2 linked regions of the Drosophila melanogaster genome follow. Each later gene encodes a partner of the first gene's protein in a complex. Each region holds a gene or a part of one and is shown on either strand. Other genes may lie near its edges. The genes, in order: Tim17a1 and ttm3.

What was found.
Region 2: Tim17a1 (region 1) and ttm3 share a complex: the UniProt entries of both Drosophila melanogaster proteins name them as parts of the TIM23 complex.

Annotation. Positions count from the first base shown.
Region 1 is NT_033777.3:12,363,056-12,366,878, reverse strand, and holds Tim17a1 (Tim17a1), read left to right. Parts: upstream 1-2,198; 5' UTR 2,199-2,293; coding exon 2,294-2,962; 3' UTR 2,963-3,212; downstream 3,213-3,823. Other genes in the region: GstD9 (glutathione S transferase D9), read left to right, coding at 1-638; GstD10 (glutathione S transferase D10), read left to right, coding at 1,334-1,966. UniProt on the Drosophila melanogaster protein: Essential component of the TIM23 complex, a complex that mediates the translocation of transit peptide-containing proteins across the mitochondrial inner membrane.
Region 2 is NT_033779.5:22,077,864-22,081,314, forward strand, and holds ttm3 (tiny tim 3), read left to right. Parts: upstream 1-1,768; 5' UTR 1,769-1,824; coding exon 1,825-2,856; 3' UTR 2,857-2,875; downstream 2,876-3,451. UniProt on the Drosophila melanogaster protein: Essential component of the TIM23 complex, a complex that mediates the translocation of transit peptide-containing proteins across the mitochondrial inner membrane.

The sequences.
Region 1 (3,823 bases):
TGCTCTACTCGGCACCTTGCCGTTCCATCCTGATGACGGCCCGTGCCCTGGGATTGGAGCTGAACAAGAAGCAGGTGGATCTGGATGCCGGCGAGCATCTTAAGCCGGAATTTGTAAAGATCAATCCTCAGCATACGATTCCCACGCTGGTTGACGATGGTTTCGCCATCTGGGAGTCGAGGGCTATACTGATTTATCTGGCCGAGAAGTACGATAAAGATGGCTCCCTTTATCCCAAGGATCCCCAGCAGAGAGCCGTGATCAATCAGCGCCTGTTTTTCGATCTGAGTACTCTGTACCAGAGCTACGTGTACTACTACTATCCCCAGTTGTTCGAGGATGTGAAGAAGCCAGCTGATCCCGATAACCTCAAGAAGATCGATGATGCTTTCGCTATGTTCAATACTCTGTTGAAGGGTCAGCAGTACGCCGCCCTCAACAAGTTGACTCTGGCCGATTTTGCGCTTCTGGCCACCGTTTCCACTTTTGAAATATCGGAATATGATTTTGGTAAATATCCGGAAGTGGTTAGGTGGTACGACAATGCCAAGAAAGTGATACCCGGCTGGGAGGAGAACTGGGAGGGCTGCGAGTACTACAAGAAATTGTATCTGGGTGCGATTTTGAACAAACAATGACGGGTCTGTAATAAATAATCTAATCTGTATCGACCTGTTTGAATAAAGAGTGAGACATTGTGAAATGACAATGAGTATAATAAACGAAGAGTTGTTGGCTTTTGTACAGCGATAAGGCAGAGGATCCTCTGCTCCAAACATTCTGATAGCGATAAGATATTGCTACGTGTCGGTTTGCTGAAATGCCACCTGCCGTGATTTTAGCGATAGCCAAAACAATTAAATTCAAATGGTAATTTTGGACAAACACCTGTACTAATTCATGATTTACGTAAAGTTTAGTTCAACGGGAAGCTAAACGAAATGAAATTGGTAATACAGCTGCACTCTGCTCTTCCAGAAGTTTCTCTTGTGTCCAGTGCTAGCCCAAAAATTGCTGACTATTATCACCTATACCTAATTGATCCATCAGCCCCGAAACATTCTACGAGTATTTTTTGTGGTTATCTTCTATTTCTTATAAAACACGACTAAACCGCAGAGAATTTTTCAGTCGTTTGTCGCGTTTTGACTCCAGCAGAGCAGCCGAGTATATTTGATTACCACGTAGGTATGTATACTTTTGTTGTTTTTGATGAATTTATTATAGAGATTGCGTAACCAGGTTCAGCGAACGAAATGAGAAAGTGATTAGCTGTTCGTTTTTTTTTTTATTCAGTTTCCAGAGATCCCTTCAGAAAGTGAGATAGCGTAAGATGGATTTATACTATAGACCCGGATCTGCTCCCTGCCGCTCTGTTCTGATGACAGCCAAGGCACTGGGTGTGGAGTTCGATAAGAAGACCATTATCAACACCCGAGCTAGGGAGCAATTCACGCCGGAATACCTGAAAATCAATCCGCAGCACACGATCCCCACGCTGCACGACCATGGATTTGCTTTGTGGGAGTCGCGGGCGATTATGGTTTATCTGGTGGAGAAGTACGGCAAGGACGACAAGCTCTTCCCCAAGGATGTGCAAAAGCAGGCGTTGATCAATCAGCGCCTGTACTTCGACATGGGTACGCTGTATAAGAGCTTCTCCGAGTACTATTATCCGCAGATTTTCCTAAAGAAGCCCGCCAATGAGGAGAACTACAAGAAGATCGAAGTGGCCTTCGAATTCCTAAACACATTCCTGGAGGGGCAGACCTACAGCGCTGGAGGGGATTATAGCTTGGCGGATATTGCCTTTCTGGCCACCGTTTCCACTTTCGATGTGGCTGGCTTCGATTTCAAGCGGTATGCCAATGTGGCACGTTGGTACGAGAATGCCAAGAAACTGACTCCCGGTTGGGAGGAAAACTGGGCTGGTTGCCAGGAGTTCCGCAAATACTTCGATAACTGAATATATGAACCCGAAATACTGATAAAACACCTATTATTCGGTTATCAAGAAAAAACTATATATTTAAAGATTAAGACTGGGCTGGATTTCGATAGACATTTCAATAGTTAAATAAAAAAAATTCACTTTTAAAGTTTAATCCGTTTTTTGAAATACAAATTTAATATCATAAAATTGTAAACATCTAGAAAGGACGCAAACGTCAGCATCCCAAACACTTCGTATTATGTTTACTCAAAAGTCTATTTCCAAAACACAAGTTTTTGATTTGAAGCCACTTGAAGAATATTAGTATACCCAAAGGTTTTGATATAGTAAGTCAAGGCCATGGAGTACAATCGCCAGCCGTGTCCCATTAGGATTGTGGAGGATTGCGGATGTGCCTTCATGATGGGCACCATCGGTGGTTCGCTGTTCGAGTTCCTCAAGGGTTTCCGTAACGCTCCTACCGGATTGCAGCGCAGACTTTATGGTGGCATTGATTTGGTGAAGATGAGAACGCCGTCCATTGCCGGCAGCTTTGCCGTTTGGGGTGCCACTTTCAGCACAGTGGATTGCGCCCTGGTCCACTATCGCCAGAGGGAGGATGCCTGGAACTCGATACTCAGTGGAGCGGCCACTGGTGGGATATTGGCAGCCCGTAATGGCATTCGGGCCATGGCCAACAGTGCTCTGGTGGGCTGTCTGGTGCTGGCCATGATTGAAGGAGCCGGTGCAGCAGTGGCCACCATTAATGCAGCCGACAAAGGTGCAGGGATAGTCATCAAGCCGCAGCGGGCCCAGTGGGAGGCCATACTGGAGACTATTGATCCGAAGAGAGCGTCATCCACTCAAGATTTCGCACTGGCGGAGTTTGAACGGGTGCTGGACAAATGTCGGGCGAGCAGGGAACCAAATTTACTTCAGGACATTCCGGTTAAGAGTCACGAGCGAGATTCCAAACAGAAGCCATTTTATTCCCTCTTGGATCTGGTGAAACTGTCCCAGATGTTCTAGTGTTGCCCAAAAAAAAAGGGTTTTCATTTTCATTCAATCTTTCGTTCTCAACAATCACTCATCAAAATTGTGTGCATGTACTAGTTTTCACCGTTCATTTCATGATCGTAATATACAAAACGCATAAGATACTAAAGCTTATCTACTATCAAAATCATAGCATACTTCTTGGCGTCAGAATTTCAAGTTCGAAACACTTTATTTTGTGGCTTTATTTTTTTAAAGGTTGAATAAAACAATGTATGTATGTATTTCCCAATCTATAGATATCCCAGAAAAATCCCACTACTTGAGTAACGGATATCTGGTAGTCGGGAAACTCGACTGTAGCATTTTCTCTTGTGTTATACTTCAAATGGCTCAGCTTGAAACAGAACTTTTTTTTGGTTTTTATAATTCAAATTTGTACAATTATTTCATCGTATGGAAAACAAAACTCGGAACAGATTTATATTCATATCTGCAGCGCTGAACAATATCATACAATTTGAAAGAGGGTTCTTAGGATCTGTAGATTTAATAAAAAGCATTTATTAATATCTAACCTCTACCCTGGAAAAGAGGTATTTATGATTCTATCATAATATCCTTAAATAAATCAATTTAAACGTTCAATGCTATATCAAATTAACAAAAAAATAAATAATGCCGTTGTCCACTTATCAAAATCGTTTCGAATCTTTTATTATAATTAAAGAAAATCATAAATTAATACAAAATTAAGAATTAAACTAGTTGATGAGACAGAACAGAGCGCAGAGAATTGGAAGGTGGTTACCAGGATAGGGTTCATAAGTAAGTATATCATGCAGCAATTTGGCCAGAAAACTTTGCATTCAAAGACAATCGGAGATTAGACAT
Region 2 (3,451 bases), on another chromosome or scaffold:
TGTCTTTTCCACAACATTTGAGTAGCACTCATTTTCGCATAAATTGCGGAACCGATTTAAATACTCCAGCAGACCGAACCAATTTTGAAAAGTGATTAAATTTAACTGGCTAACGAGCTGAACTAGGAAATCAGAAATTATGAACCATGAGAAGGACAAAAGCCAGTATAGCACATAGACGAAGGCAATGACAATGAAGTGGGTATTGCAGGCGGCAGAAAAAGGCGGTACCAGCGAATGGGGATGCAGGAAAGATGGGGAAATGGCAATGGAAGTGGAACTGTAGTTCCAGAAGGACATGTGCCTGCTGACTGCTTAAAATCTGTGCGTCTGCACGCATTACAAACGAATTACGAGACTCGTTGGGCAATTGCAGTTCATTGTTATTTAATATGTCGCCCGTTCAATGGCGGAAGAGACGAAAGGACCAGCAGGAACACCAGGAGCCGAATAGTCAACGAGAACACGGTTGGGAAAATTATACTTTATGGCGCCAGGACACTGGATACCAGCACAAGGGAGCAGCAGACGCAGGCGGCTTGACAGTGATTGCGATACAAACGATTGCCAACGTTTCCAAGTGGATTATTACCTCATGCCAATTATCATATCAACGATACACAGGCACAGGTCTCGGTAAATGGGCAGAAACACACACTGAGCCACACTCGAAAGCGCAGGACACGCCAGGACGTGGCACATTGGCTGACAAGTGAACCAGCCCAAACTTCCAGCGCCCATCGCACTTTACGAGGTGTTGACTGTGTCGGCATCTGGCAGCTTCTGTCGCTCTCTCTCTCTCTCTCTCTCTGTCTCTCAATTGGGCTCTTGCGGAATTGCATGTACAATTTTAAATGGATTTCGATTGTTTATGACAAATCGACTATCTGAACTGGCATTGCTTGATTGCGACCAGCTCCTCTACCTGGTGTCCTGCGTCCACCTGAGCTGCTTATGTATGTACGTTCCGATTTACGATTAAGTCAAATTAGTAATTATATATTCAAAAGGGATGTGAGTGCTGTTCATATTTGGTAAATCAAAAGAAAACACCTCTTTACGAAGTAAAAAGCAAGTGACGAATAAAGCGTTGGATACGGTAATTATAATCAAACAGCATATTACGTACGTATTAATCGGGCTAACAGCTGCTTTTATTAGAGGGCCGGCAACCGTCCTTCCAATTTTCGTAGTCAAAAGGTAACAAAGTCAGCAAAAATTTTGTATGCGTCTAGTCCAAGGTAACATTAATTTTGGCCCTAGGATAAATGGTCCCACCTACGTTCCATCGACCGCTCAATCGCAACGACAAGGAAAGAGAGGGCTGCGATGGGCTCTTCTGAGGGGGTTTGATCGTTCTTCCGAAGATTTTTTAAGTCGACGGGAATTCTGGCCATGCATATCTGTCAGTATGTCTGCCCGGCTGTCTGTTCGTTTGAACGTCTAAATGTCAGAAACAATAAATGCTAGAAAGTTTAGATCATGTCCACGTCATAGACGCAGCGGAAGTTTCTTTCTTCAACGGAGAGCAACAAATATTTTGATAAAAAGTGTCGAATTTAAATAAAATATATTTAAATATATGTATATATTTAAATTGTTTAAATTCTAACTATAGTTTCTGGTTGGGATCGTCACTACTTTTTACCCTTGCGTGATGTTTTTTTTTTCTATGCTAAAATAATGTTTGACTGTAACGTTTCCTCTTGTTTTTATTAAATATATAATTACCACGAGGGTATTTACTTTGGGTATATACAAGTTGTTAGATTCGGTGTTTAGTGCTTAGTGTCTTAAGTCAATAAAAAATAACGTCTAGCTCAAATGCATAAAATTGTTTGGTTTGGAACTTTAAATAAGTCGATTGGCTACATCGGTAAAAAGAAGACCTGTCTTCTGAGTCCATGCGAGAAAATATGCCTGAATTCAGCTAGAAAAACAGTACAGAGATGCGACAAAAACTATTCACCACCAAAGTTAAGAAGAATCAAGAATTTCTATACCTACAGTGTTGTGTTGGGGAGTCTCTTCAGTATAGTCATGTGGGCCATCTATAAGCTGGGCAAGCCCGAGGAAGACCATCGGGGTCCCATAGAAGATGAGTTCAGTCAGCTTCCCTGGTTCCGCCAGTACATAATGAGGATGTGGCACACACTTCAGTATTATGAAAAAATGATGGAAGAGCCCCAGATGGCAAGGCTGCTGCCAAATGTTGTCCCACCGCCGTATATACAACCTCCCTATTCACTGGTGCTGGAAATCAAAGACGTACTGGTGCATCCAGATTGGACTTATCAGACGGGGTGGCGGTTTAAAAAGCGGCCTGGTGTGGATTACTTTCTTCAGCAGTGCAGTCGAAATTTTGAAATTGTGATATATACTTCTGAACAAGGTATGACCGCATTCCCCCTTCTGGATGCTTTAGATCCCTATGGCTACATAAAATATCGGCTAGTAAGAGGTGCCACGGACTTGGTAGAGGGTCAGCATACCAAGAACCTCGATTATCTTAACAGGGATCTGAGCCGTGTGATAGTGGTGGACTGTGATCCGTATACCACTCCCCTGCATCCCGATAATAGCTTGGTGCTCACAAAGTGGCTGGGTAACGATGATGATGTCCAGCTCTTTGATCTCACGGCTTTCCTGCAGTTGATTGCCGAACACCAAGTAAATGATGTAAGGGAGGTGCTGCGATACTATCGCCAATTCGAGGACCCCATGGAACAGTTTAAGGACAACCAACGTCGACTGCAGGAGCAGAGTCAGGAAAGCATTCAGAATTTACCAACTAGTGAACGTCAGTGGAACTTAACTTTATTGGGACGCTCCCTTCGAGGGTCTTCAATCAAATAAATTTTCGTTTATGCACCTTATATCTATTGTAGTAACGTCTTGATCTTGGAAACTAAAAAATCTAGTCATTAATCTAGTAATTTAAATGTTCAAAATTGTTTACCTTTTTTACATTTTATTATTTGTTTTAATTATTTTCATTGTTTTGGCAGTTCGACAACCACAGAGGTTTCGATTTTTATATCCGTTACCGAAGTTTAAATTGGTCTACTAGATTTACTGCCAAGCTAAACACAATTATACCCATTACAGGTTGAGTAAAAGGGTATACTAGATTTGTTGAAAAGTATGTAACAGGGAGAAGGAAGCATTTTCGACTATATAAAGTATATATATTCTTCATAAGGATCAATAGCCGAGTCAATCTAGTCATGTCCGCCTGTCCGCCTGTCCGTATGAACGTCGAGATCTCCGGAACTATAAAAGCTAGAAGGTTCAGCATACAGATTCTAGGGACATTGGCGCAGCGGCTTAACTCGAAAGTACGGCATGAGATAATTTTTATGGAGATGAAGAGCTCTGTAGAGATAAATATATTGAAAGAAATCCTTGAGGGTCGCAGATATAATTACCCGTGAAGCGCATTATATCAAAA